Mus musculus: one gene and its partners. The protein of the gene in region 1 purifies or fractionates together with the protein of each later gene. This does not show direct contact. Links are inferred from orthologs where the notes say so. Each region holds a gene or a part of one and is shown in the gene's direction. Other genes may lie near its edges. The genes, in order: G3bp2, Trim25, Caprin1 and Atxn2l.

Evidence for each region.
Region 2: the proteins of G3bp2 (region 1) and Trim25 purify together in Homo sapiens (affinity purification with mass spectrometry; 4 studies listed by BioGRID and IntAct, counting the BioPlex papers as one, with this or other methods). This does not show direct contact. The link is inferred for Mus musculus from reciprocal best matches to the Homo sapiens genes G3BP2 and TRIM25.
Region 3: the proteins of G3bp2 (region 1) and Caprin1 purify together in Homo sapiens (affinity purification with mass spectrometry; 5 studies listed by BioGRID and IntAct, with this or other methods). This does not show direct contact. The link is inferred for Mus musculus from reciprocal best matches to the Homo sapiens genes G3BP2 and CAPRIN1.
Region 4: the proteins of G3bp2 (region 1) and Atxn2l purify together in Homo sapiens (affinity purification with mass spectrometry; 4 studies listed by BioGRID and IntAct, counting the BioPlex papers as one, with this or other methods). This does not show direct contact. The link is inferred for Mus musculus from reciprocal best matches to the Homo sapiens genes G3BP2 and ATXN2L.

What each region holds. Positions count from the first base shown.
Region 1 is NC_000071.6:92,068,701-92,075,701, reverse strand, and holds part of G3bp2 (ras GTPase-activating protein-binding protein 2), read left to right. Parts: intron 1-964; coding exon of another isoform or gene 965-976; intron 977-2,423; 5' UTR 2,424-2,447; coding exon 2,448-2,542; intron 2,543-5,263; coding exon 5,264-5,345; intron 5,346-7,001. Other genes in the region: uncharacterized protein Gm46933, read right to left, coding at 965-976.
Region 2 is NC_000077.6:89,004,269-89,011,269, forward strand, and holds part of Trim25 (E3 ubiquitin/ISG15 ligase TRIM25), read left to right. Parts: intron 1-460; coding exon 461-556; intron 557-4,850; coding exon 4,851-5,084; intron 5,085-6,536; coding exon 6,537-6,705; intron 6,706-7,001.
Region 3 is NC_000068.7:103,774,957-103,781,957, reverse strand, and holds part of Caprin1 (caprin-1), read left to right. Parts: intron 1-2,386; coding exon 2,387-2,625; intron 2,626-2,711; coding exon 2,712-2,794; intron 2,795-3,857; coding exon 3,858-3,995; intron 3,996-5,800; coding exon 5,801-5,853; intron 5,854-5,937; coding exon 5,938-6,024; intron 6,025-6,192; coding exon 6,193-6,348; intron 6,349-6,432; coding exon 6,433-6,541; intron 6,542-7,001. UniProt on the Homo sapiens protein: mRNA-binding protein that acts as a regulator of mRNAs transport, translation and/or stability, and which is involved in neurogenesis, synaptic plasticity in neurons and cell proliferation and migration in multiple cell types.
Region 4 is NC_000073.6:126,499,405-126,507,205, reverse strand, and holds the start of Atxn2l (ataxin-2-like protein), read left to right. Parts: upstream 1-3,768; 5' UTR 3,769-4,013; coding exon 4,014-4,306; intron 4,307-4,606; exon of another isoform or gene 4,607-4,875; coding exon of another isoform or gene 4,876-4,910; exon of another isoform or gene 4,911-4,976; intron 4,977-5,105; exon of another isoform or gene 5,106-5,131; coding exon of another isoform or gene 5,132-5,253; intron 5,254-5,747; coding exon 5,748-5,784; intron 5,785-5,893; coding exon 5,894-5,950; intron 5,951-6,031; coding exon 6,032-6,103; intron 6,104-6,332; coding exon 6,333-6,483; intron 6,484-6,952; coding exon 6,953-7,077; intron 7,078-7,801. UniProt on the Homo sapiens protein: Involved in the regulation of stress granule and P-body formation.

The sequences.
Region 1 (7,001 bases):
TAAGTTCCAGGACAGTGAGAGACACTGTCTTTTTTTTTTTTTTTTTTAAATGGGCAGTGCCTGGAGAGGCCCTGAGTTTGTCTGCGGGCGTGCACTTACTCACATGTGCACTAGTGTCTTGTGGCTGGTGTGTGGAGCCAGTCTTTCATTTCACTTGTTTGCCAGCCCATTGTCGTAGCTTAAGCAATGAGTCTTTCTGCTTAGGGGTTGTCAGCCTCTGAAAAGTTGTATTGGAGGAAGATAGTGGCATCTGTAATGCACTGTTCACATCTGCTTCATGAGTTGTTTTTGAAAGCAAGTGATACGCCATATAAAAATTGAAGTAGATTTGAGTCATTAGAAAGTCTAGAAGGACAATTCCAAAGGAAGAAACAACTAAGCGAACACCAGGTAACACTCTGGTCCCTAGGACAGCACTCAACCTTTGTGCTTCACCTTAGTACCTACCTGACAGTTAGGAAAAATACCACATTGTATTAGATGGCTATGGATGTCTTTGGCTGTGAAATTATTTAGTTGCTTAAAGAAAACCTTCATTGAAATGTGTTAAAATAGCTGTTCTGGTAGTATTTTGATTTGTCTGATCCACGCTAAGATGTGTGTTTGGTTTTTGTTTTGTGTCCCCACCCCCAAGTACTTTAAAGTACTTTTGGGTTGGGCCCCAAGTTCATTCCCTTGCTACTCACATAGAATGATTCACTGTGCCTGTGATCCATGGTCCAGGGCTTGAATGTGACACCCTCTTCTGGTTGCTTTGGACACAAACATGCATGTGAATAAAAATAAAGTCACACATCCTTTTTTTTCTTTTTTACATTTATTTATTATTATAATTAAGTACACTGTAGCTGTCTTCAGATGCACCAGAAGAGGTCGTCAGGTTTCATTATGGGTGGTTGTGACCCACCATGTGGTTGCTGGGATTTGAACTCAGAACCTTCAGAAGAGCAGTCAGTGCTCTTACCTGCTGAGCCATCTCGCCAGCCCCATCACACATCCTTTTAAGACAAAATGTGCTTGTGTGTGTCTGTTGATCTATACACAGTTTTTGGTACTTAGAACTGAACCTAGGACTATTTCTTGGAGTTACTGTACTGATTAGATAGTAAAGCCATCTTACTAAAAAAAGAGTTTTGGACAGAAGTGGAGGTCAGAAGACAAACTATGGAAGTCTGTTTTCTCTACTATGTGGTCCTGAGGAATTAAGGTTGGGTCGGGCAAACGCCTTTATATCTCTCTCTCTCTCTCTCTCTCTCTTTTTGTTTTGTTTTGTTTTGTTTTTTTGAGACAGGGTTTCTCTGTATAGCTCTGGCTGTCGTAGAACTCAGTTTGTAGAACATGCTGGCCTTGAACTCAGAAGTCCACCTGCCTCTGCCTCCAGAGCGCCTGGGATTAAAGGCGCGCGCCACCACGCCCGGCTAATGCCTTTATCTCTTAAGCCATCCCACTGGCCCTTCCCACCTTCCTCCTTTTTCTGAGCGTGCGTGCGTGCGTGCGTGCGTGCGTGTGTGTGTGTGTGTGTATATATGTGTGTGTGTTTAGTGTATGCCTGCTTGTAGGTATATGCTGCACCACTTGTTTGCTTGGTGTCTGGTTTCTTAGAACACAGTTGTAAACTACCTTGGAGGTTCTGGGAAACTGAATCTTGGTCCTCTGTGAGAACAATAAGAAGTGCTTTTTAGCTGCTGTCGTCTCACTCCAAGATAAGTTTTTAATCATCTGTAATTGGGTATCCATGTGTGGATATGTACATGAGTACTTTGGGGTTAGAGGTTCAGTTCCCCTGGAACTGGAGTTATAGGCATTTATGAGCCCTTTATATAGCCTGCTGCTCCTTATTCTTTGTGTTGGCTATAATTAGACTACTTGGAGGGCTATGTGTATCAAGTAATTAATGAGTTGTATTTAGCCAAGCTAGTTTTTCCATTTGTATGGGTGTTTTCTCTGCATATGTGTCTGCATTATGTCTATGTCTGGTGCCCAAGGAGATGTCAGAAGAGGCAAGCAGATCCTTGTAACTCCAGTTGCGTGTGCCTTTTGCGGGGTGGGGGTGGGGTGGTTCGAGACAGGGTTTCTCTGTGTAGCCCTGGCTGTCCTGGAACTCACTCTGTAGACCAGGCTGGCCTTGAACTCAGAAATTCGCCTGCCTCTGCCTCCCTAGTGCTGGGATTAAAGGCATGTGCCACCATGCCCGGCTTGGGTCGTGTGCCTTAATATGCTGGGAGTTGAACCTGGGTCCTCTGTTAGAACAGGCTCCTAGCTGCTGTACCATCCCACTAGGCCAGAAATTAATTTTTCTGTGATTCATTTTTAATAAATGGTGTTAATTTGCTTTATTCTCAGTTATATATCTAAGAAGATTTATTTTGTGGTATTTTGCAAGGATGACTTAGTAGCTATTTGTCTTGTGTTTTCTCCTCCAGCATTTGACATTGTGCAGCAAAGAAATGGTTATGGAGAAGCCCAGTCCGCTGCTTGTGGGGCGGGAGTTTGTGAGGCAATATTATACTTTGCTGAATAAAGCTCCCGAGTATTTGCACAGGTAAAATTTAGACATTTCTTTGAATTCTTTGGATATGGCCACATTTTATTGTCAGTTCTGTCTCTTTATATGTTGATAGTATCTTTGCAAACAGGAACAACATGTCATATCTTAGTGCCATAACACATTTGGTCTCTGTCTCTCTCTGTCTCTCTCTTTCTCTCTCTCTCTCTCTCTCTCTCTCTCTCTCTCTCTCTCTCTCTCTCTCTCACACACACACACACACACACACACACACACACAAAACTCCTCAGTATTTCATGTGTCATTATACTAATGTGGAGCTTGACTCATTACAAGGTTCCAATGAGTGATTAGAAATCAATGACTTTATCTTTTGAAGTTCTCATATTGTTGAGAAATGCTGCCACACACCTGACCTGTGAAGGCTCTGTGTTCTCATGTGAAAAGCAGTATTACTTGGAAGATGCTATCACTATTTTGGCAAGAGTTGAACATCCATAAGCTTAATGTTTCCAGAAGTTGGAATGAAGTATGTGTAGCATACGTATAGTCCTATTCTGGGTGGAAGGAGTCCTTGAGCAAGTGGAGGGAGGGTGAGACTTTTGAAAGCTGAGTTCTTCAGGTTGCTGTCCATCCTTTGTTACTCCCCTCAGAAAGGCTAGTACTGACTCAGTGTACATCTTAGGTAAGCTCTCTGGAATTAGATTTTTTTAGGTGTACTGTTGGACATGTGTTTCTCCTGTCTCTTCTGTATTATAGGAGAGGTTTGTATTTACTGTTTTCTGGGTTCCCTTTCTGGGGATGATTTTTCTCCCCATGTAAACTTTATGCTGGTTATAATGTAGGCACTTTAACCATCTATTTCTCATATTTGACAGCTGACAGCCATCGGTGTTTCTCTGTGTAACCCTGGCTGTAACTCACTCTAGACCAGGCTGACCTCAGAATCAGAGTTCTTGAACTGTCTCCTGAGTGCTGGGATTCACCACTACCACCTGGCTAACAAAGTCTCAACTAGTAGTGTAGCTATATTGTTAACAGTATAACTTTGAGGTCAGCAACATGACACAGTGGGTAAGGGATTTTCCAGGAAAGACTTACGACCTGGATGGAGCACTCATAAAGGTGGAAGAGATTCCTCTGGTCTCCACACAAACACATCTGTACATGAATAGTCACAAAATAATTTTTAAAAGTCTTAAGATGGTACAGCTTCCATATTATATCTAGCTTAATTTAAACACTTTTTCCTCTAATAAAAATGTTGATGCTTTTAAGTTTTTCACCGAGGGGTTGGAAGATGAGTCAGCAGTAAGAAGCATTGTTGGTCTTGGAGAAGCTTGGGTTTGAGTCCAACACCCACATTTTGACTCAAGACCATCTGTAACTCTAGTGTCACAGGATATTGTGTTTTCTTCTGATCTCTGCCGGTATTAGGCATACATGGTGTACAACATACATTCAGGCAAAACATTCATACAAATCTAAAAAGCCTGAATAAAGTTTTTAATATTTTTCTCCTCAGCACTTTTAATATGCTTTAGTTAATTATATTCTTAGAGTAACTTCCCTGAAGAGTTGTCACCTCTTTCTTAGGTTTTAAGTGTGTGTGTTTTGTGTAGGCATGCACATGTGTGCATGCTGAAGGGTCAGATTCCGGCTGGAGCCGGAGTGACATGTCAAGTGGTGGGAGCTGGTTATGTGGATTTCTTAACTTCTGTATACATTCAAATAGTAGCACTATTTATGAAGTTGTTAGGATCAAAAGGATCGGTATATGTCACTGAAAATACTGTTTGGCACAGGGGAAGTTCTGACATGTTTGACTAGCTCTGGAGAACATAAATTATGTACTTAATAACTTGAATAAGGAAAGTCAATGTTGAGATGGTTGTAGACTTTTACTTGGTCTTTGAATTCTTTTTTGGTTTTTCGAGACAGGGTTTCTCTGTGTCGCCCTGTCTGTCCTAGAGCTCACTCTGTAGACCAGGCTGGCCTCAAACTCAGAAATCCTCCTGCCTTTGCCTCCCAAGTGCTGGGATTAAAGGCGTGTGCAACCACTGCCCAGCTTGGATTCTTTTTGATTATTTGAAATTTGTAAGCTGTAAGCCTGTGGAGTTAGTAACCACTTGGAGATCCTGAAGAGAGTATTAAATGGGACATTTGATTTTCAGTAAATCTAGACAACTTGAGGTCTGTCTGTCTTTCTTTCCTTTCTTTCTTTCTTTCTTTCTTTCTTTCTTTCTTTCTTTCTTTCTTTCGACATGATTATTATTACAAAGAAGTACACTGTAGCTGTCTTCAGACACACCAGAAGAGGGCGTCAGATCTCATTACAGATGGTTGTCAGCCACCATGTGGTTGATGGGATTTGAACTCAGGACCTTCAGAAGAGCAGTCAGTGCTCTTAACCCACTGAGCCATCTCCCCAGCCCAAGTTTTTTTATCTGAAGAAAAAAAATTTGATCAATAAGTTACTAGATTACTAAATATTTAGGATGCACCTGAACTCCTTCTTTCAATTTTAATAAGAAGATTGACAACAGAGAGGGAGGCTAGCTCCTTGAGCATGTTCCTTGTTACATGGCTGTCCTGAGGGGTCTATGGGCAGTGACTTATTTAGTCTGTACATCAACTCTGGGTAGTAGTCACTGTCCTGTTCGTGACTAAGGACCCCTTTATCTGTTGATTATCAGTGGGTCTTAAGCTTTCTTGACCCTTCAGTGGCAGTATTTTTAATTGTTGATGACTTTGCAGGTTCTATGGCAGGAATTCCTCCTATGTTCATGGTGGAGTGGATGCCAGTGGAAAGCCCCAGGAAGCAGTTTATGGCCAAAATGTAAGTCACAAATTAACGTATTTTCAAAATGTCTTAGAATTAAGATGGCTTTAAAAATGTAGCCTTTCATTAGGTGTTTTTAGATCTTTTGCTATAGTTTTAGTAGAACTGTATATTGAGATGTTTTCAAAAGGAGAGCATGGACTGCTTTATACATATAGTTGAGAAAGCATATTTTACATGTTACAGGAATGTATGAAATAACTGATCTTGATGGGAAGAGAGGACGGTAGAGGGTTTGGGGCTTCAGTTGGACTCCAGGCTTGGTCCTTAGCAAACAGGAAGAAACTGGACATAGAAAAATAGCATCAGCAAACATCATAATAAAGTAAAATTAGATAGTAAAGTAAAAAAAGATCAAAAGGAAGTTGGTAACAGTTTGAGAATGGTGGTCTGGTACTGTTGCAGGATATTTGATCACAGGATATTCGATTACACTGTGAGCCCCAAGATTGTGTTAGTAAAAAAAAAGAAAAACAAAAAAACAAAACCTGTTTTTAATTATGGCGTGTGTCTTAGTCAGGGTTTCTATTCCTGCACAAACATCATGGCCAAGAAGCAGTTGGGGAGGAAAGGGTTTATTCAGCTTACACTTCCATACTGCTGTTCATCACTAAAGGAAGTCAGGACTGGAACTCAAGCAGGTCAGGGAGCAGGAGCTGATGCAGAGGTCATGGAGGGATGTTCTTTACTGGCTTGCTTCCCCTGGCTTGCTCAGCCTGCTCTCTTATAGAATCGAGACTACCAGCCCAGAGATAGCACCACCCACAAGGGGCCTTTCCCCCTTGATCACTAATTGAGAAAATGCCTTACAGTTGGGTCTCATGGAGGCATTTCCTCACCTGAAGCTCCTTTCTCTGTGATAACTACAGCTGTGTCAAGTTGACACAAAACTAGCCAGTACAGCATGGCTCAGCCACTTTTAATCCCTTTGGCAGGAATACAGACATGCCCTTAGTACACACCTTTAATCCCAAACGATGAAGGTAGAGTTAGGTTGTAGAAAAAAGCACCCATGTTTGAAAGTGAAGTCAAATTGAGTGGCAGACAAAGTGACAAATTAGAGAAAGATTTGACAGAACAGGATCTGCCCAGCTCTTGTGAAAAGAAAGGAAAAGGAAGCTACTTAAGGGGCAGTGCAGAGAGGAGCAGGTTTACCAGGAGAGTTCTACAGAGACAGGCTGAAGAGAGAACAAGCTAAACACAGGAGAAGACAGCATGAGCCAGAGAGTGAGAAGGAACCAGATTAGAACAGATTGCCAGAGTTAGAATGAGACCAAGCAGAGCAATTCGAGAGAGGCTGAGAGAGAAGTCAGTTTGAGTCAGTCGCTTGGAGAGACGTTTCTGAGTCGAATTAGCCAGCCAGAGTTCAGGAAGAACTAGGAAGGGGTGAACTTATTCAGCAGCAAGTCTCAGAGGCTGAAACCAATTTAGGCCTAGGTTAGGTTGTATGGAGACGAGACGCTTCCAGGACAAGGCCTACGTTAGCAGACAGAGGAAGGTATCAAGCGTATAAAAGTTACTTTTACATCTGACCCCCAACAGAACTCAAACCTGCAACCCTGAGATTTAAGTCTCAAGCTCTACCAACTGAGCCAGCCAGAGAAATGAAGGGGGGGAAGAGCTGTACACCACCAGACTAAACACAGTATCAAG
Region 2 (7,001 bases), on another chromosome or scaffold:
TCCTCCAGGCAGGGCTCTGAGCACAGTCCTTGGTTAGTCTTCCTGATTGTCCCTGTAGCTGCTTAACCAAACCAGTGGTTTCTGTTCATGGCCAAAGAAAGAGACAGAAGACATATGGCTGGGAACAGGCTTTCAAACAAACAGGGTCATTTTGGTTCCAAGTCTTTTTTTTTTTTTTTTTTTTTTTTTGGTTTTTCGAGACAGGGTCTCTCTATATAGCTTCGGCTGTCCTGGAACTCACTCTGTAGACCAGGCTGGCCTCAAACTCAGAAATCCACCTGCCTCTGCCTCCAAAGTGCTAGGATTAAAGGTGTGGGCCACCACGCCCAGCTGGTTCCAAGTCTTGTATTGTCTTCCTGAAGGGGCAGCGGAGTTAGGGAGGGAATGGTCCTCAATGTGGGGGAGGGGCTAGGACATAGGCTAAGGAGGGGCTCTCTCACCCTATGTGTTTTCTCTACAGTACAAACTGAGGAATAAACTCACTATCATGCACAGCCACATCAATGGGGCAACCAAAGCATTGGAGGATGTGAGATCCAAGCAACAGTGTGTGCAGGTGAGTGACCCTCCCCCACTCTAACTCCAAACCCCCTCATTCTTCTGGGAGGACTTGGCCTGGGCGTGCCTGGGAATCGGGTGGTCAGCAGAGTGCTTAGGTAGCTCACTTGAAGCCTTGGGTTCCATCCTGATACCACAGAAACTGTGGTAGAATCGGGGCATGGTGGCGCATGCCTTTAATCCCAGCACTCGAGAGGCAGGTGGATTTCTGAGTTCGAGGCCAGCCTGGTTTACAAAGTGAGTTCCAGGACAGCCAGGGCTATACAGAGAAACCCTGTCTCGAAAAACAAACAAAACAAAACAAAACCCAAAAACAAACAAACAAACAAAACTGTGGTAGAGTGGGGTTATAAGTTCAAGGCCACCTTTGGTTCCATAGTCAGTTCCAGATCAGCCTGGAGGGGGACAGGAAATCCTGGCTTTTGTTTCATTTTGTATTTGAGTCAGGGTCTCACTATTTAGCCCTGGCTCTCAAGGAACTCACTGTGTGGATTAATCTGGACTCGAATCCACGGAGATATCTGCCTACCTCTGTGTCCTAAGTGCTAAGTATTAAAGGTGTGGTGCACCCCAATGCAGGAAACTCTTGCCTTAAAAAAATAGCCTTGCAAAGCATTCAGAAAGCTCTATGTCCAAGAAATAGCCTTTATAAATGCTCATCAGAAAAACTCCCTGCAAGCCCGGCCTTGGGAGAATCATTAAAAATGAAGGGGTAAAAGGCTTAGAAAGATGGCTGAGTTGTGATTGTTGTGCAGCCTGACCCCCAAGTTCAATCCCGGGAATCCAAGTGAAGGTGGGAACTGACATTGCAGAGTTGACCTCTGACCTCCAAATTCCTGCTGTGGTACTCGCCTTCACTCTGACAGGAAATAAAACATTAAGAGTCAGTGAATACGCCAAGGCATGGTGGTGCACACTTTTCATTCCAGCACTTAGGAACTAGAGACAGGTGGATCTCTGTGAGTTCTGGGCTAGCCAGGCCTACATAGTGAGACCTGATCTAGGAAGGAGGAGGAAGCGGAAGATGAAGGAAGGGAGGAGGAGAAGAAATGATGATGGTTACAACGACGATGATGATGAAATAATGATATTGTCATTGTTGTCACGTCGTCCTCTGGGGAGAATCCTTCCTACCTCTTCCAGCTTCCAGGAGGAAGCTTCAGGTCTTCCTTGTCTTGTTGCTGCTTCTGTCTTGCCAGTACCTTTCTTCCATCTACAATAAGACCATTGTTATTGGACTCAGGGCTCACCTGGCTAACTCAAGATGGTCTCTCTCCTTTTTTTTTTTTTTTTTTAAATTTTTATTTCACATGCATTGATGTTTTGGCTGCATGTATGTGTGTGTGAGGGTGTCGGATCCTCTGGCACTGGAGTTACAGAAAGTTGTGAACTGCCATGTGGGTGCTGGGTATCGAACCCTGGATATCTGGAACAACAGCCAGTGCTCTTAACCACTACACCATCTTTCTCTCTAGCGCCCTGAGGATTTCACTCTTAATTTAAGTACATTTTTGAAGACCGATGATGATGATGATGGACTATTATTAACATGTGCCTGTAGGGCTTGGGATGTATGTGTAGACTCATTTGGCAGTTGTGACTAAGATGACTAAATTCACTTGAGCAAACTTCTTGGGTAACCTCAATAGATCAGACACTAGGTCACCCTCACCTGCTTTCTCTAGCTTTCAAAAAAAGGAACAAGATGGAAGAGACTGGCAACAAGCAATTTCCTTTTAAGCAATCACTGTGATGTTTGCTGCACATACTACTTCTAGCCTTGCCTCAGTGGAAGAAATTTAGTCACCCTGGCCAAGCCTAGTTGCAGAGGACCCTGGAAAATGTAGTCTAGAAAGCTGTATACCAGGTGACTCTCCTGTGTGTTCCCTTACTAAATAGAAAAGGAGGAAGTGGGCTGGAGAGATGGCTTAGTGGTTAGGAGCATTGACTGCTTTCCCAGAGGTCCTGAGTTTGATTCCCAGCAACCACATGGTGTCTTACAACCATCTGCAATAGGATCTAATGCTCTCTTATGGTGTGTCTGAAGATAGCAACAGTGTACTCATATAAATAAATAAATCTTAAAGAAGAAAGAAAAAGAAAAGGAGGAAGTGACGGACACGCCTTTAATCCCAGCACTCGGGAGGCAGAGGCAGGCAGATTTCTGAGTTCGAGGCCAGCCTGGTCTACAAAGTGAGTTCCAGGACAGCCAGGGCTACACAGAGAAACCCTGTCTCGAAAAACCAAAAAAACAAACAAAAAGAAAAAAGAAAAGGAGGAAGTGACACCGAAAGATATTAATGTTCCCAAGAGGAGGTACTCTGAAAGGATACCTCAGTGGATAAAGAGTTGAGGGTCAGTGAGATGGATCAGTGGGTAAAAGTGCTTGCTGAACAAGCCTGAAAACTTGAGTTCAATCCCAGGGCCCACAATGGAAGAAGAGAACCAACTCCTGAAAGTTGTCCTCTGACCTCCACGTGTGCACCTGAGGATGTGTGCACACCCTGAGAGCAGCAGCAACAACAAAAGTAATAATACATTTAACAGGGTTTTTTTTTTTTCATTTGTTTTTATTTTATGTGCATTATTGTTTTGCTTGAATGTGTGTCTGTGTCAGTGTCGGACGTTGGACTGACAGACAGTTGTGAGCTGCTGTGTGGGTGCTGAGAATTGAACCTGGGTCCTCTGGAAAAGAGCAGTCAGTCAGTGCTCTTAACCCGACTCATCTCTCCAGCCCCAAAGCGAACAATTTTTAAAAAGGTGAATTCCACTCTCTTGGTGTGCATTGTATAGTTTTTGTTTGTTTGTCGTGTTTGATTCTGAACTATTGAAGTTACTCAAGAAAGCTGTCCAAACATACTATTGAAACCACACTGTCTACCAGAAACATCCTGACCACCTCTGATTAATTTAAAACGAATTTGAATTACATGTGTGGTGGCAGGCCTTGAACCTTGGACCCATGACCTCACACATGCTGGGTAAACACTCTGCCACTGAGCTATGCTCCCAACCTCTGAAACTAATTTTAGTAATGTAACTTATTTATCTCAGTGTGTCCAAAGTGTTATTTCAATGTATTATCAATAAATTTTCCTTTGATGATACTGGGGAATGGACCTAGGTCCTTGTGCATGCCGGGCAAGTGCTCTACAAGTGAGCTGACTCTAGCTCAATAAAAAGTATTAAGGAATTTGGGGTGGGTATTAAGTCTTTGACGTCCATTCATTGTCTACTCACAAGTTATGGGCCTTTTTTTTTTTTTTTTTTTTTTTTTTTTTTTTTTTTTAATTTTTTTTTGAGATGGTGTTTCTTTGGGTAGCCCTGGCTGTCCTGGAACACGCTGTGTAGACCAGGCTGGCCTCAAACTCAGAGATCCTCCTGCCTCTGCCTCCAGAGTACTAGAATCAAAGGTGTGTGCCACCACTGCCCAGCTGACGTGACATGTTTCAAATGCTCAGAAGCCACATGTAGCACTGAAAAGAGTTCTAAAGGATGGTCGTCTTTGATCATCTTTAGGAATTTGTTTGAAATTGTTTCATGGCTCCCGGAAAGCCACAAATCCTTGGGCTCAAGTGACCCTCCTGCCTCAGTCTCTGGAGGAACTGGAGTGATAACAAATTATGTGACTAACTCACTTTTTACTGTTTCAAAAGATTTGCTTGTGAACAGTCGTCTCCCCTCTCCCACCATCCCAATTTGGAGACAAGGGTCACATGTATGTAGCCTGGGGTGGCCTCAAGTATATAGTGTAGCCAGTGGTGGCCTTGAAATTCTCATCCTCCTGTCGCAGCCTCCCTAGTGCTGGGATGAGAGTTATGAGTCACCACACCGGGCTTTGCTTGTTAACACTCTGTCTGTTTGTTTCTTTGGTTGGTTCGATTCTGGGTTTTGAGACATGGTTTCTCTGTGTAGCCCTGGCTATCCTGGAATTCACTCTGTATACCATGCTGGCCTTGAACTCAGATATCTGCCTGCCTCTGCCTCCCCAAGGGTTAGGAAAGGCATGCACTGCCACCAGCCTGGCGCGTGTGAACTTCCTATGTGTATTTCTCTGGGCAAGTAGTTACAGTACCCTCCTAGGAACTGGGGTTGCTGGGTCTTGGGGTGTGTTCACCTCCAAGCAGGACTTTGCCAAGTGGCTGCCCAGGGTGGCAGCATGAAGTGTCACAGAGTTCCTGGTGCTCCATACACACACACACACATACACACACACAAACACACACAACACAGGAGTGCAACCTTAGCGTTATCAGCAGTCTGACAGGAGCCCCCTCATCTTGGCCTCGTAGGATTCTATGAAGAGGAAGATGGAACAGCTGAGACAGGAGTATATGGAAATGAAGGCTGTCATCGACGCAGCAGAGACCAGCTCCTTGCGCAAGTTAAAGGAGGAGGAGAAGAGAGTCTACGGAAAATTCGACACCATCTACCAGGTTCTCGTCAAGAAGAAGAGTGAGATGCAGAAACTGAAGGCAGAGGTTGAGCTCATTATGGACAAAGGGGATGAGTTTGAGTTTCTGGAGGTGAGTTGTGGCTCCGGTGCTCTGTGTGTGTGTGTGTGTGTGTGTGTGTGTGTGTGTGTGTGTGTGTGTGTGTGTGTGTGTGTTTGTGTGTGTGTGTGTTCTGCCCATGTTCTGCCTAACATTGCAGAGCTGATAGGAGTCTGGACCTCATAGAGTCAGGGCTTTAAGAGGTCAATTTGGAAAGCTCCCAGAGACATACTGTATGTCTACACTCTGCAATAGCTTACCTGAGTTCAGGGGCTTTAGAGAACCTCTGATGATGATCTGGTTCCCTCAGCTCAGCGTCTGGGCGTGGCTTCCGGGCTATTGCCCTAGTACCAGCAGTCTAGCTGCAGGCTGGGCTGTATTGATTTTGGAGCGCAGGGTTGTTTTGTTTCCAAGAGCACCTGGCTACTTAGTTCCTCGGGGCTATAATTAAGTGTACATTTTCTTGCCGGCTGTCAGCTGAGGCCTTCTTTCAGCTTGCCAACCAGTGTTTGCCTTAAGCCAGCAGAAACATTCCTCTTGAAGGCCTCTTACCCCGTTGAGTCTGGTCTACCCAGGATAATCGCCCTTTCTATTAATTCGACTGGTTGAAGATCTTCATTGTTCCTGTGGTGGTGTTCCCTCTCTGTTCCTAGTAGTTTGTCATGCAGTAATGCCCTTTCCATCTGCCCTGTACTTGGGGGGATGGTTATGGGGGACTCTTGGGAGCATCTTACTGTGTCACTCCCTTTGGTGTTGCAGATTATGCCTCCCCCCAACTACCGCCACCACCGTAGCACTGATGACGTCATTTCAGATGTGCTTGTTGGCTATAAGCCATATCTTGTCACTTATCTCTTCTCCCTCACCTGTCTAGTTCACGGCCCAGATCTCCGTGAACTACCTCGTTTGGTCCCCCAAGGACCCAGATTCCCTGCTCAGTACGGGAATGGTGGAACTTACCCTGTTCGTGATGCTTACTGGTACTTAGGTGGCGGTTTTGTTTTGTTTTGTTTTTTTTAAGATTTATTTATTATATAAGTAAGTACACTGTAGCTGTCTTCAGACACTCCAGAAGAGGGAATCAGATCTCATTGCGGATGGTTGTAAGCCACGATATGTGGTTACTGGGAATTGAACTCGGGGCCTTCAGAAGAGCAGTCAGTGCTCTTAACCGCTGAGCCATCTCTCCAGCCCCAGGTGGAGGCTTTTTGCTACTCCAGGGAGCTCAGTCCTATGCCTAGAAACTACTGTGTTCCGTGAGAAAGGATTCAAAGCCCTTGTCTGAGCCCCCTTCTTAAAGTTCTTAAAAGAGCACTCCAGCTCGGTTCAGGATCAGAAACCTTGGCCGTGTGATTGAGGCAGGAAGTTGGATTTACTGTTGCCATAGGAACCATCAGTGTGTGTGGGGGGGGGGGTCTATGAGGATGCATCCCAAACCCTGGCTTTCCTCCAATCACCTGTGCTTCACACCTTGGCTTGTTCCAGAAAGCTGCAAAATTGCAAGGAGAGTCAACAAAACCAGTCTACATCCCTAAGATAGATCTGGATCATGATTTGATAATGGGAATCTACCAAGGGGCGGCGGACCTCAAGAGTGAACTGAAGCACTCCATTAAGAAGCTACAGAAGAAGTCTGAGGAGCACAATGGCTCAGGTAACAGCGGTGACACATCCATCACTGACGATGAGCAGAACATTGGCCCTTGAATTTCAAGGGTCCTGAAACCGTCTCTGCTTTGTCCTGACGTCACAGCTACTTTTCCAGAAAGAGGATTGAGGCTTTGTTATTCTGATGGGCACTGGAGGCCAACATGGATGGGCTTTGAGTAGACTCTGGGTTGCCAGTGTGTTTGGTGGACAGAGGGCTAGCTTCAGGGTCAGAGGAATGTGAAATTCCTCCTTACCACTCCTTTGCATTCCTTCCTCCACATCCCAACCACCATCATGTTT
Region 3 (7,001 bases), on another chromosome or scaffold:
GGAAAAGTTCTACATCTGGCTCCACAGGGTCAGAGAGAGAACTGGGCCTGGCTTGGCCATTTGAAACCTCAAAGGCTACACTTAACTCCATTATGGCCATATGCCTTTATCCTTCGCACTTGATAACTGAGCATTCAAATATATGAGCTGATGGGAGCTGCCACAATGCCTCTGTAATAGAATATCAGAGATTGGACAATCTGTAATGAAGAAAAATGTATTTCTCTGAGACACTGGAAGTTCAAGACCAAGGCATTGGCATTTGGTGCGGGTCTATCACAAGATAGAAGAGGGAAGAACAAAGAGTGTGATCCTATTTCCACGAACAGTTGTCATAGCAACAATAACTAGTTCATCAGGGTGGTGCTCTTTGGACCCAAGTAATTGGTTAAAGACTTTATCTCTCAGCACTTGAATTTAGGTCTTTAAATTTCCAATACAGGAATACTAGGTATGAGGTTACACAGAAACCATACTAACCAAGTGGGAGATACTTGGCTTAGGTCAGCACTTTAAGCTTGATGGACCCTTCTTTCTCCTTCTCACACTTCCTATTCTTTTTTTTTTTTTTTTTTTTTTTTTTTAAAGATTTATTTATTTTTACTATATGTAAGTACACTGTAGCTGCTTTCAGACACTCCAGAAGAGGGTGCCAGATCTCATTACAGATGGTTGTGAGCCACCATGTGGTTGCTGGGATTTGAACTTTGGACCTTCGGAAGAGCAGTCGGGTGCTCTTACCCACTGAGCCATCTCACCAGCCCCTTCCTATTCTTTATACAGTTTACTTTTTAAAAAGATGTTATGCAGTTAATTTACTCTGATCCTTTGATATATTTTTCACAATAAGTAGATATCTTTTTTATTTTGTATCAAATGGTAGCTTTAGCTTAGTTCTAATCTACCTTATTCATACCTTCGCTACTTAAGTTGATATGTCTCTCATATTTATTATAAAAGAAGACTTTGGGCTAGGGAGATTGCTGAGTTGGTTAAAGTGAGGACCTGAATTAGATCCCAAGAACCCATATGCAAGCCAGGTGTGGAGGCACTTGGTTATAATCTCAGCTCTAAGGAGATGAAGAAAGGCAGATCTCTGGGGCCAGGGAGAGACCCTGTCTCAAAAAGGTACCTGAGGTGTATGGTATCTAAGGAAGGATGTCTGATATCTTCCTGCCTCCAGATGTATGTGTTTGCATGTGTCCACATGTGTACATGTTGTATGCACACTGAAGCACATGCAGTTACTTCTTTTGGATAGATATTTTTGTTTTTGTTTTTTCTTCACATTCCTACTTCTCTTCCTGTTTGTGCCTCCAGCTACCTATGAAAGACCTTCCTCATTTAAACTACTTCTCCCAACATTGAAAAGCTCATCCATTTCAGTAGACGACATTTCCACCTTGTAAGCTTACTTGCCCATCCTAAATTAGACTTTAGCCCTGTTTATATGTTTATTGCTGTAATATCATTTACCTCCTCTGCTGCCAATATAAACTGTTATTAAAATGTTCATTATTTCTTCATTCCTCTCTTTAAGTTTTAAAAATTTTAAAAAGATTTCTGTTTTATGGGTATTTTTCCTACATGTGTGTCTATATACCACATGTGTGCATATCTTTGGAGACCAGAAAAAGGCTCAGATTCCCTGGAACTGGAATTAATTGTACTGTTGGGAATACATACTATGGATGCTGGGAATTGAACATGGGTCCTCTAGAAGAGTAGCCAGTGCTCTTTGAACCCTGAGCCAACTCTGCAATCCCCAAACTATAGGTTTTGTATGTCTATCTCCATTTTGTTTTTTGTGTCAGTTTATCTTAATTAAGCTGGAGATGGTTGGAAAGGATGAAAGAAAACAGTGCCATGACTCTTAAAAAGACCTTTCTCTATCCCTAAGCTGATGCTAATATGGAAGAGAAGGAAAGAAATACTTGACTTTGATGCTGTCCTTTTAGCCTTTTAAGGGAAAAGATGGGGGAACTGAGGGGAAAAAAAGACATCCTTCATTGAACTTACATGGTCTCCTTTTCTTTGTCAGTATTCTTCATTCATGAAGACCTTTTTTTTTTTTTTTTTTTTTTTTGGTTTTTCGAGACAGGGTTTCTCTGTATAGCCCTGGCTGCCCTGAAACTCACTTTGTAGACCAGGCTAGCCTCGAACTCAGAAATCCGCCTGCCTCTACCTCCCGAGTGCTAGGATTAAAGGCGTGTGCCACCACGCCCGGCTTATGAAGACAATTTTATTTATTATTTTTCAAGTTCTGAACTCCTTTCTGATGTCATGAGTGATGTTTGCCGCAAGGAGTCAGTGGTGGATGTTTGGCTTGTTCTTGCATAGAATGTTCTTAAGTTGGACACTGTCTTGGGTTTATGTTCTTTGACAGATTCAGAAAACAATAAAGAAGACAGCACGTCGGGAACAGCTTATGAGAGAAGAAGCAGAACAGAAGCGCTTAAAAACTGTACTTGAGTTACAGTATGTATTGGATAAGCTGGGAGATGATGATGTGAGAACAGATCTGAAACAAGGTTTGAGTGGAGTGCCAATATTGTCTGAGGAGGAGTTGTCATTGCTGGATGAGTTCTACAAGCTCGTAGATCCTGAGCGTGACATGAGTTTAAGGTATGATGGTGTCTGGGAACAGAATCTTAAGAAATATTGCTCATTGGCAGTTGGAAGGTAGTTAATGTTTTCTTTGTTATTGCAAGGTTAAATGAGCAGTATGAACATGCCTCAATTCACTTGTGGGATTTGCTGGAAGGGAAAGAAAAGCCTGTGTGTGGAACAACCTGTGAGTATCACAGATAATTCTGAGTTTATAGCTAGGAATCTTTAAAATACTTTTCTGTTTAAGGCATTTTGCAAGTATATAAACAACAGTTTGCATTTATTTTTATGCATTCTTTTTTTGGCATGCCTTAGTGACATTCTTTGTTGCTTTTTATACTTGATACCTTCTTGGGACAAGATTTGTAGATGGCTTTTCTTCTGCCATGAAATACTTATTGCTTATCCTGTCAGCTTGTACAGCAGTTATACCAGGGAAGTTATAGAGCCTCAGCCTAAGTCCAGTCTGTTACGTTTTATTGTGTAATTTTGTTAATTTTTTATCTTGATATCCCTTCTGGTAGACTAAAATTAGTGAGCATGTACTGCCTTTTTATATTGTTTTAATTGACTATTTTTAAAGATTATTTATAAGCTGGGTGTGGTGGTGTGCACCTTTAATCCCAGCACTTGGGAGGCAAAGGCAGAGGATCTCTTGTTTGAGGCCAGCCTGGTCTACAGTCAGTTGGAGTAAAGCCAGAACTACACAGAATCACCGTCCTAAAAACTAGAGAGAGAGAGATTTATTTCTAATTATTTGTGTGTGTTGTGTGTGTGTATCTATATGAATATACATATATTGTGTGTGTTGTGTGTGTGTGTATCTATATGAATATACATGTGAGTACAGGTATCTGAGAAGACCGTTAGAGAGCATCAGATCCCTTGGATCTGCAGTTAGATGTTTGGGAGCCAACCCATGTGAACTTTGCTCTTCTAATCCCTGAACCTCTTCTCTAGTGCCCACCACATGCTAACACATACAGTATGCTCAACACAAGTTTTTATTGAGTGAATAATCTTAGGTTTATTCCCTCCTTATTTGCTTAGTATAGTAGTTTAGATAGATTCCTTTTTCATTCCTATCATATTGTAATTTGTTTTATGTATGTGTGTGTGTGGTTGTTTTACTAACATGACTACGTTTTCTTACTGCTTTTGTAGAATATTAATTTTTTTCAAATTTTTATTAAAATTTTTTTTCAAATCAAATTGTCAGTGTAACATTGTATTCTCCATTTTTTTAGATAAAGCTCTAAAGGAAATTGTTGAGCGTGTTTTCCAGTCAAACTACTTTGATAGCACTCACAATCATCAAAATGGGTTGTGTGAGGAGGAAGAGGCGGCTTCAGCGCCCACAGTGGAGGACCAGGTAGCTGAAGCTGGTGAGTATTTGGGTGGATATAAGGATTAGTTTTGGTTCTGGCCTTAGTTTCTTTTTCCTTTCTCATTCATATGTATGTATATATGTAAAATCTGTATACTCAAATACCCTTTGAACATGGCAAAGTACATTCAGCAATCTGAAGTATTCAGAACCCATCATGTATCTTACAGGCCTTGATCACAGGTAAATTAGTAACTCTCTTGCCTACTTAGTATTGTTGGATAAGGAGTATGGGTTAGGGGCAGTTGTAAGGATTTTTGTCTGACTTGTTTTACTTCTCACCATACCAACATATAGTATGATAACTATATTGGAAGCATATATATGGAACTTCTAGAGATCTGTCTGCCTCTGCCTACTGAGTGTTAAGTTACATTTCTTCTTTAAGGCTGTGTATAGAACTCTATGGCTTGAACTGTAAACTCCTTATCCGCTAGGGAGTTTTGCAGTTGATGTTTAGCATCTTAATGAAACACAGGTGTGACTAGACAGCCTGAGTACTTTCATAATTAATAAGTTGATGAATAAAATTGAAAACAGATACTACAAAAATTTTGTGATATTTTATAAAGTATAAGTTCAGAGCTGGATTGCTTAAGGTAAAAACATACAACACCAGCTATCTAACTTGGGGTAATTACTGCAAACTTTTAAAGCCCAAGTTTCCATTTAGTGTGTGAGGGGTGTATTCAGTAAGGCACATGGTACTCACTACTATCGGAGTGCTACTATGCTGAAGCCAGAAGGGAAGACTGCTTATTGGTGGAATATAGGTAAAGCATTTTACTAAGTGTTAGTTAAGTTTAAAGGTGTGCATCAAGTTGGGCATAGTGGCACATGCCTTTACAGTCTCAGTACACAGGAGGCAGAGGTAGGAAGAGCTCCTGAGTGTGTGGCCTGTCTGCTCTACAGAGTGAGTTTCTCCAATTTAGAAGGTTTTTATTTTCATCATGCCTGCCATAGGAAACTACTGTTAATGCTGAAATGACTCCTTCATTCTGGAACCAAGTAAAGAAACTTAGAAGTGTAGTTACTGACTATAAAAATGGGAAAGGAGAAGAATTTATCAGTAATATATTCTGATTATGTGATTGTATAATGATAATGTCACTTTAGTGTTTAAGTAGAATTGATACCATTAAAACACTCACTTATATGTGGGTATCATTTACAAGCAGAATTTTCTTTTTCTGTTGTTTGTTTTCAAGACAGGGTTTCTCTGTGTAATAACCCTGGCTGTTTTAGAACTCACTTTGAAGTCTAGCCTGGCCTCAAACTCACAGAGATCCTCCTGCTTCTGCCTCCCGAGTGCTGGGATTCAAGGCTTGTGCCACCATCAGACTGGCTGCAGACTTTTTTCTTAAAAAGCAGTTTTAGGTTCATAGTTAAATGAACATAAGAGGGGTTAAGAACACTGTTTACTCCTGCTGAGGACCAGGGTTTGATTTTAGCAATCTACAGAATGGCTCTCAACTGTCTGTAAGGGCATTTGCCACCCTCTTCTGGCCTGTGTGGACACACTACGAATGCCTGGTACACAGGCATGCATATATGCATAACATCATTTATATAACAAAGTTTTTTAATTGCTACCCATCTTTCCTTTTCAATTGTATAGCTTCCTTATTGCAGCATTCCTGTTAGAGGTGCATTTGTTACAGTTGATAAGCCTAATATATTTTCACCTAAGTGTGTATGTGTGTGTTTCCCCTTTGGTTTCTTGTACATTCTGTAGATTTTCTACGGTTTTAATTTCCTTGACCTAAATAAATCTTTTCTGCTCTATTTCCTTTTTAACTTTAGAACCTGAGCCAGCGGAAGAATACACAGAGCAAAGTGAGGTTGAATCAACAGAGGTATGATTTCTTAAAAGAGTTTAGTACTGCCTTCACTTTTCTACCTTCCCAGCAGATACCACAGTGTGTGCCTTTTCTTCTTAGTATGTCAATAGGCAGTTCATGGCAGAAACACAGTTCAGCAGTGGTGAGAAGGAGCAAGTGGATGAGTGGACAGTTGAAACAGTTGAGGTAAAAGTTCTTTTGACTTTAGTGATTTCTACCTGTCCTGAGGGGAAAAAATAGGTGGTTGGTTTTTTTAATTGACACAATGATTATAATAAATACATATCACATAATTAATATTTAATGTTTGGGAAGCAGTCATGAAAATAGTATTTTCTTTTTTCTCTATTTTAGGTTGTAAACTCACTCCAGCAGCAACCTCAGGCTGCGTCCCCTTCAGTCCCAGAGCCCCACTCTTTGACTCCAGTGGCTCAGTCAGATCCACTTGTGAGAAGGCAGCGTGTACAAGATCTTATGGCACAAATGCAAGGGCCCTATAATTTCATACAGGTAGGTATATTTTAGTAAAGCACCATTGATAGTAAATTTAAATGTATGTTGTTTGATGTAATTCAGTTATATCCTGACTTGTAGGATTCAATGTTGGATTTTGAAAATCAGACGCTTGATCCTGCCATTGTATCCGCACAGCCTATGAACCCTACCCAGAACATGGATATGCCTCAGCTGGTTTGCCCTCAGGGTTAGTAATGATGATTTTAAAAGTTAATTTTTTTAGAAAAAAAAATTGTGTGTTCATGTATTTTCATATTTGGCATATGTATGTTGTCTGAACAACTTAGTACACGAGTACCCGGTCTCCTCCTATGTGGTTTCCGAGGAGCAAACTTGTGTCATTAGGCTTGGTGGGGCATGCTGCTTTTTTGTACATTCTGGACCACCTTCCACAGTCTGTTTTTAGCCCCTCCTAGCTCAGCAATATTTTTTATGAGAGGGAATAGAAGATGCAGTATAATCTTCAGAGGTTTTGAAAGTTAATTTTGCTCATTTTTAATGCTTTATTTTGAGTCTTGAATTTGATGTGATATCTTGTCTACTTTTATCATTTCTTGTAACATTTTTATTGGCATAGATAAATAGAATTGATGACTTCTCAAGCTGAACACAGCAGCATCTAAATGTACAGTTACCAGTGCTGTAGA
Region 4 (7,801 bases), on another chromosome or scaffold:
TGGTGGTTCACAAACATCTGTTATGAAATCTGATGCTCTCTTCTGGTGAGTCTTAAGTCAGCTACAGTGTACTTACATATAATAATAAATAAATCTTAAAAAAGAAAGAAAAAAGAAAGAAGAAAAGGGAGGGCAACATACAATAATAAAAGTTAAAATAAATTAAGAAGTCATCTGCTGCTTCTGTCACTGCTTGCCCCATGGGTTGTAACTATGGAGACTGAGCCTGGATGTCTACTGGGAAAGAAATGGGAGAGCTTGAGAAGGAAGTGGAGGAGACACTCAAGAAAGGGGCTTATCCCCACCAGCACAGGTGGGACTGTCTCTCCAGTGAGGCTCAGGTAGCTCTTGCTGCCAGTGCTGGTGGAGGTTTACATTGTTGCAGAGTTCCATGCTACCTGATGTAGGACAGCAACAGACCTTAGGGCTTCCCCAACCTAAAAGGTTCCGCTAGTAGGCTGTGTTAGTTGATATACAAAATCTTCCCTCTTCCAAGTTGGGAAGTTTTTATTTTATTTCAGTTACTTTTTGTTTTTGACAGGGTCTTGCTATGTATCCTGAACAGCCTGGGACACACAGAGATCTGCCTCCTGAGGGCTGGGATAAAAGCACATATCCCATCACCTGGGAGACAAGGGCAGACAGATCTCTTGAGAGTTCCAGGGTATCCTAGGTTACATAGCAATAAAGGGTGTGGGGGAAGGGGATAGAAGGATTAGAGAGATGGATCAGCTGTTGAGAATGCTTGATGTTCCTAAAAGGAAACCAGGTTTATTCTCAGCACCCATATAGTAACACACAACAGCCTGTAATCACAGTCCTAGGATATATGACACCCTCTTCTGGCCTCTGAAGGTACCACCTGTGTATGCAGTACACAAATATACACACAGAGAAAATTCTCATACACATAAAATAAGAGTAAATAAAATGGAGAGTTAAGACCACTGGAGGCTACAGGATGAGACTAGCCACAACCACAAGGAGCAGCACTGGGCACCAGCTGCTTAAAAATTGTATCTGACTAGCAATCCCAGCATTCAACACAATGAGCCCATATGCCTTACCTAAGACAAGCAAAGAGAGTGGCATCTAGACAGGACAAACTCAGCTAAAACCACTTATCACACAGCCTGAGTGACCTGGATATGGCCCAAGGAGGGCATCAGAGCAGAACAGAAAGAAGTATGTCCTTGGAGATCAATGGTCCTTTGTCTCTACCAAGTCTTAACTGAGTGGAGCAAGTGGTGGCTGTACCAGGCCCTGTCTCAATTTTTTTTTTTTTTGAGACAGGGTTTCTCTGTGTAGCCCTGGCTGTCCCAGAACTCACTCTGTAGACCAGGCTGGCCTTGAACTCAGAAATCCGCCTGCCTCTGCCTCCTGAGTGCTGGGATTAAAGGCGTGCACCACCACGCCCGGACCCTGTCTCAATTTTAAAAACAGATTTCAAATTCAAATGCTCATAGGGAACAACGGCAGCAGGCGGTAAATGGAGAGTGTGGGTCCTGCTTGCCTAACACGTCAATGAAACTCAAGAGGTCTTTTTTTTGTTTTTCGAGACAGGGTTTCTCTGTATAGCCACAACTGTCCTGGAACTCACTCTATAGACCAAGCTGGCCTCGAACTCAAGAAATGCACCTGCCTCTGCCTCCCAAGTGCTGGGATTAAAGGCATGTGCCACCACTGCCTGGCTTGAAGGGGTTTTCCTTAAAGATTTTCTTTTCTTTTTTTTTTTTTTTAAGATTTTATTTTCAATCATCCATGTGTCTGTCTGTGTGAGTTGATGCCAAGTTTGTAGGTACCTATAAAAAACAGAGGCAGTAAACCCTCTGGCGCTTGAGTTGCAGGCAATTATGAGCTGTCTGACATGGGTTCTGGGAATTGAACCCAGGTTCTCTGGAAAACAATACACATTTGTCATGGTTTGAATATGCTTGGCCCAGGGAGTGGCACTATTTGGAGGTGTGGCCTTGTTGGAATAGGTGGAATAGTCACTGTGGGTGTGGGCTTTAAGACCCTCACCCTAGCTGCCTGGAAGTCAGTTTTCCACTAGCAACCTACATGGTATGCATAATGCACTCAAGCACACACATGCCTACGATAAAATTTAAAAATCTGGGAGCTGGAGAGATGGCTCAGTTCCAGAGGACTTGGCTTTGATTCTCAGCAACACAATTGCATGGCTTCTTATCACTGTTAACTCCAGTCCCTGGGACCGGATACCTGCTTCTGGCCTTCAAGACCAACACACATACACACACACACACACTCTACACCAACATACCTGCAAGGCAAACCACCCACACATACATTTTTATTTTGTACACTGCTACCAAATGACCTATTTATCTTTCCCCTGCTCCTATACTTTTTAGGAAGTGTATGCCGACTCTCACCTGACCCACTGGCCTCAGACTAAATATTTGAGGATGACTTTAAATTAATTCCATTTTTCCGCTTATGATGGGTTATTAATCTGAAGTGTAGATTTGGACTCATCTGTACTGCTATATTCAATTTCTTAGTGTCTACCCAATCCTAGATTTAATTTTTGGATTATGTTATCAATAAAGGGATTTTAGGTTAACATTCCATGACAAAGTCTGGCTGTGCTGATTTATGTCTGAATCATAGCACTCAGAAGGCAGACAGATCTCTGTGAGTTTTAAGACCACCATGGTATACACAAGGAGTTAAAAGCCAGCTACAGCTATAGAGTGAGGATTTCAGGCTCCAATCAAGCTCCATTTTTTCGTATGTCCTGTCAGATCCATTTCGTCTGTATAGAAATCCATTTTCCTGCCCTCTGTGTTTTACCAAGTACCTTTGCTCAAATTATATAAATCTTCCACTAGCTTGAGCTTTGAGTGGCTTAGTTACCCAAAGCATGGACTTTTCCATCAACTTTTCCTTTTGAAACAGGGTCTGCCCAGCTGACCTGATATTTATTATACAATGCAGGATAGCCTCAAACTTTTGATCCTCCTACCTTCCCTTCCTAGTACTGGAATTAAAGTTCTGAAGCACCATAGCTGCCCTAATTTTGAATGAGGGCTGCCTTAATAGGCAAGCACTATACCACGGTTTTCTAACCGTGTCTTGCTATGCAGCTGGATTCTGTAATATACTCTTAGTCAGTCTGGCTTTCAGACGGCTTGTATTGCTACTGTTCAGGGGGTCGCTCTCCCTGAAAGAATCACTGAATTTCAATTTAGAATTGGGCACATTTGTTGGGATGCACATATGCTCAGAATAGTCATTCTGACGCTCATTAATATTTTAAAGCAGTTAAGATGGAGAGCAGCACCTTTAAAAACCCACCTGCCTTAAGTTACCTGTACTAGGTTTTTCCAGTCCTAGGGATTTTTTTTTTTCTCTTGCTCCCGAGACTCCGCCCACCGGTCACCCAGTGGCGGAAGAACCTCACGCTACGACGTGACACCTCACACCACCGCGGAGACTTTCTGACGTTACGCTGGCGGCGTGGGAGGGGCGGGTCCGCCGGCACTTCCCCTTCCCGGCTTTGGCCCCGCCCACCCTCGTTGTGAAGCAACCGCGGCCGCCAGCATTTAAGGTGGCTCAGAACCTAGAGGTGCGCTAAGCGCCTGCGCGGCTCCTTTTCCGCCCCAGGGGCTAGGCCGGTCGGAGCCACGGCTCGAGCCTCTCCTCTGTTCCGGAACTAACCGCCTGGCGGCGCTCCCCGCGCCCCTCCCCCGCCGGCGCTTCCGCCCGCGCTCCTCCCTCTCCTTCTCCAGCGACGCGCACGCGCGCCAGGCCGGCTCGCGCCCTCTCGCTGTCCACCGGCCCGCGAGATCCCCCCTCCCCTTCCGCCTCGCGGCGCTTCCTCGCGCCGCCGTCTTCTCGATCCACCCCTGACACCGCGGGGCTCCCCCCGCCCGCCAACGGCGGGTCCCCTGCTTGGCGATCTCTTTCGCTTCCCGCGCTCTCCAGCAGGGGCCCGGCCCCAGGCCCTCTTTCCCTTCCCTCTTATTTCTCTTCCGGACGCTGCCATCATGTTGAAGCCTCAGCCGCCACAACAGACCTCCCAACCCCAGCAGCCGCCCCCCACGCAACAGGCCGTGGCTCGCCGGTCTCCCGGCGGGACCAGCCCTCCCAACGGCGGCCTCCCGGGACCGCTGACCGCCACCGCGGCTCCCCCGGGGCCTCCCGCAGCGGTCTCTCCGTGCCTGGGGCCTGCAGCCGCTGCCGGCAGCGGACTTCGCCGCGGAGCCGAAAGCATCTTAGCGGCGTCAGCGCCGCCGCAGCATCAAGAAAGGCCAGGGGCAGTGGCTATCGGCAGCGTCAGGTGAGGACGGGGCTTCCTGGCTAGGGAGAGCCCGGGAGGCAGCGCCCCGGCTTGGAGCTGTTGAGGGGGCTCTTGGGGGCCCAGGACCCCGTGAAGGAGGGGGTGGACCCTCGTGCCAACAGGTCGGAGAGAAAGCTCTCCGGGAGGTCTCCAGGAGCCTGGGGGCAGCGCTCGGCTCTCTGGGCCTAGTCACCTCTTGGGGGTCTGGGCCCTGAGGGGAGGCGGGGCGCATCCCGCCAGCTCCGTCGGCAAAGGGTGTTGGGGGGGTTGAGGAGGTGATGGGGTCCCTAGCTCCATTACCACGAAGGATCTCGCGGTCCCCGGCTTCAGCCAATGGGGAGTCAGCTGCATGAAGGGGTCCCCGACTGTAGCCAATGGGGGGGGGGCGCGCGGCCCACAGTTTGGCCAATGGGGAGGGAGGGACTTGGGAGCGGATTGTTCCCTCCTCTTCCCGGTGTAGCCAGTGAGAGGGGGACGGGGTGGGCGGGGGCGCGGAAGCAGCGGCTACTGGGAAGACTGCGGGCTGGGAAGCTCCTGCGCGCGCGCTCCCCGGGCGTACGTGCGCGCGGATGCTGTCTTATGACTCGGGCATTGGCTTGCCCCGGTAACACGTAGAGCAGAGGCGGAGGAGGGAGGGGTTATTTGGAGGGTTTAGGGGCGTTTGGTGTCGGTGAGTGGGGAGTGGGTGCCCTCGGTTTTTCTCGGTGTGTCAATGCGATAGAAAGAGGCACTGGACGCAGGCGCAGTGGCTTCTGTTCTAGAGCGGGTGGTGGAGCGCGATGGGCTGTAGTGCGCAGGCGCAGACCGGGCGAGGCATCCCGGTGGATGGTTTTTGCGGCTGCGCGGTCCCCCAGCCCAGCCAACGGCCCCCTCCTCGCCCTCCTCAACTGCCGGTTACATCAGCCGTCGAGGAGCTGTGTTACCTGGCGTTTGGGGATCCCTTCAGAGTGGGTAACAGGCTGAATGAAAATAATGAGGGCGAAAGGGTGGGGTGTGGAGAATATACTTCTCCTGGGATTTGGAATCCAAGGCTCCTGAAAGCTTTTTTTCCTTTGGGAGGTAATGTGTCTAAGCTCAGAGGTGCTGCGTTTGGGATGCCCGGGCTTTCGCCTTCACAGCTGAAGTGTGCTGTTGGTTTAATACTATAGCAGTGGTTTATCGGAAGAGTGAAGGACTGTCCCTTAGAGGAAGTCAGGTTGTATTGCACTGACTGTTAGGAACATTTGACAGCTATTGTTTATTGAATATTTTGTTGACTTTTTTAAAATCTTGAATTCGGAGAAAATGTTTTAGCAGTTAATGCCTACTTTCTTCTTTAATGTGAGAACTTGAAAAGTCTTGCTTGTTAATCAGTCTATAGCCTAAATCAGCAAGTTGACCTGGTACATTGGTCTAGGGTTCACTACTAATTAAAACTATTTCTCTCTTTCTTTTTTAATAGGGGACAGACCACCGGAAAGGGACCCCCACAGTCACCCGTGAGTGCCTTCTTTTCCTCCTGTAAAGACACTCGGAAGACAGACAGTGTGGGACAATCTGAGAAGAGAGTATTCACCTGCTGCCCTTTACTTTTTTCTCGTGTGACAGGTGTTTGAAGGTGTCTATAACAATTCCAGGATGCTGCATTTCCTGACAGCTGTAGTGGTAAGTAACAGCTTTAACCTGGGTGTCTGAGGAATATGCTGTTTCAGTTTCTTAAAATGACTAAATGGTTCACCTTGCTAGGGTTCTACTTGTGACGTAAAGGTGAAAAATGGCACCACTTACGAGGGCATTTTCAAGACTCTGAGCTCAAAGGTCAGTGTACTCAAATTAGGAATTTCTGAAGCTGTGAAGGAGAGTGAGATTGAGAGTGTGTGTTGGGTGACAGCGGGCAGTTTTGAGGCTTTTGCTAAGTTCTCTGGTTGACATTGGGAAATACAGAGTGACATGGGCATTTGACGTTGAAAGACTAGAAAGCTTTAAGAGCGAATCCATCTTCTCCCTCTGATACTGACCCTGCCATGTTGGACTGGGGCTTTTGTAGTTTGAACTGGCAGTTGACGCGGTGCATCGGAAAGCATCTGAGCCAGCAGGTGGGCCTCGCCGGGAAGACATTGTGGACACCATGGTGTTTAAACCAAGCGACGTTCTGCTTGTCCACTTCCGAAATGTTGACTTCAATTATGCTACTAAAGGTATCGCTCTGAACTGTTGTGTCAAGAAGCTGACGAGAGCTAGCCCGCAGGTTGAACACGTTGACTTGATTTACTTTTCAGTAGAGGTGACTTGAGTTCTTGAGCACATAGCTTGATGCCTGATAGAGTCGAGTGAATGTGTCTAGCGGTGTAGGTACTCCTTTTTTCATGTTTTCAAGTTTAGCTTTTAGATTAGATTGGGGCTTTGTTTTTCTGTTGAGGAAGGAAGGGTCTTTGTATATATGGCTAGCCTCCTTAGACTGGCAGAGATCAAATTGCCTCTGCTTCTGAGTGCTCGCATTACCAGCATTCACCACCCCATCTAGATAGACCTGTTTCAATAGTTCTCCCTGCTCCCATAAACTAAATCTGGTGTTTCTTAGTTTCATTTTGTTAAACTGCATGGGGTGGGGAGTAAGGATGAGAAGTGGGCCCATCACCTGACTCTGTTGCTCCCCTCTGCCAACAGATAAGTTCACTGACTCAGCCATTGCCATGAACTCTAAGGTGAATGGAGAACACAAAGAGAAGGTGCTTCAACGTTGGGAGGGCGGTGACAGCAACAGTGACGACTACGATCTGGAATCCGATATGGTATGTTCTCCCTTCCTGAGAACAGGCGGGCTGAGTTGTGGTCAACATGGGTTGCTGATGTGGACGTTCATTATTTTCTGTTGGGCTATGTTTGTTCACTTTTGTTTTGAGGTTGTTCTTGGTCAGTTTTCCCATCCTCTGCATTGAAAACCATTAAAGTTTCTCCGTGGCAGCACTTGTAATTGTAGTAAAAAGTATAAGGTGGGCATAGTATAACCCATACCTCTAATCCAGCCTTGGGGAAGTTGTAGCAGAAGAATTGTGAAGTCCTGGACAATCTGGGCTACATAACAAAAAGTCTTTAAAGAAAAGCAGAGGAGAGAAATGGAGGTGTATAGGAGGACTATTGTATATATCCATGCTTCTTCATTCTGTTTCTTCGATGAGCTTAGAGTTCTAAATTAGTCTGACAAGGTGGGTCAGATAAAGGTGCTTGCCACCAAGCCAAGTGGTGAAAAGGAACAGATTCTCGCAGATCGTCCTCAGACTTTCACATACCTACAATCCCACAGGAACAGGTCCACATTACGGATGGTTGTGAGCCGCCACCATGTGGTTGTTAGGATTTGAACTCAGGACCTTCAGAAGAGCAGTCAGTCTCTTAATCACTGAGCCATCTCTCCAGCCCCCCGAGGGTTTTTTATTTTTATTTTTTATTTATTTTTAAGCCAACGCATGTATATAGAGAGCCATGATAGCACCTGTAATTGCAGAGTTTAGAATG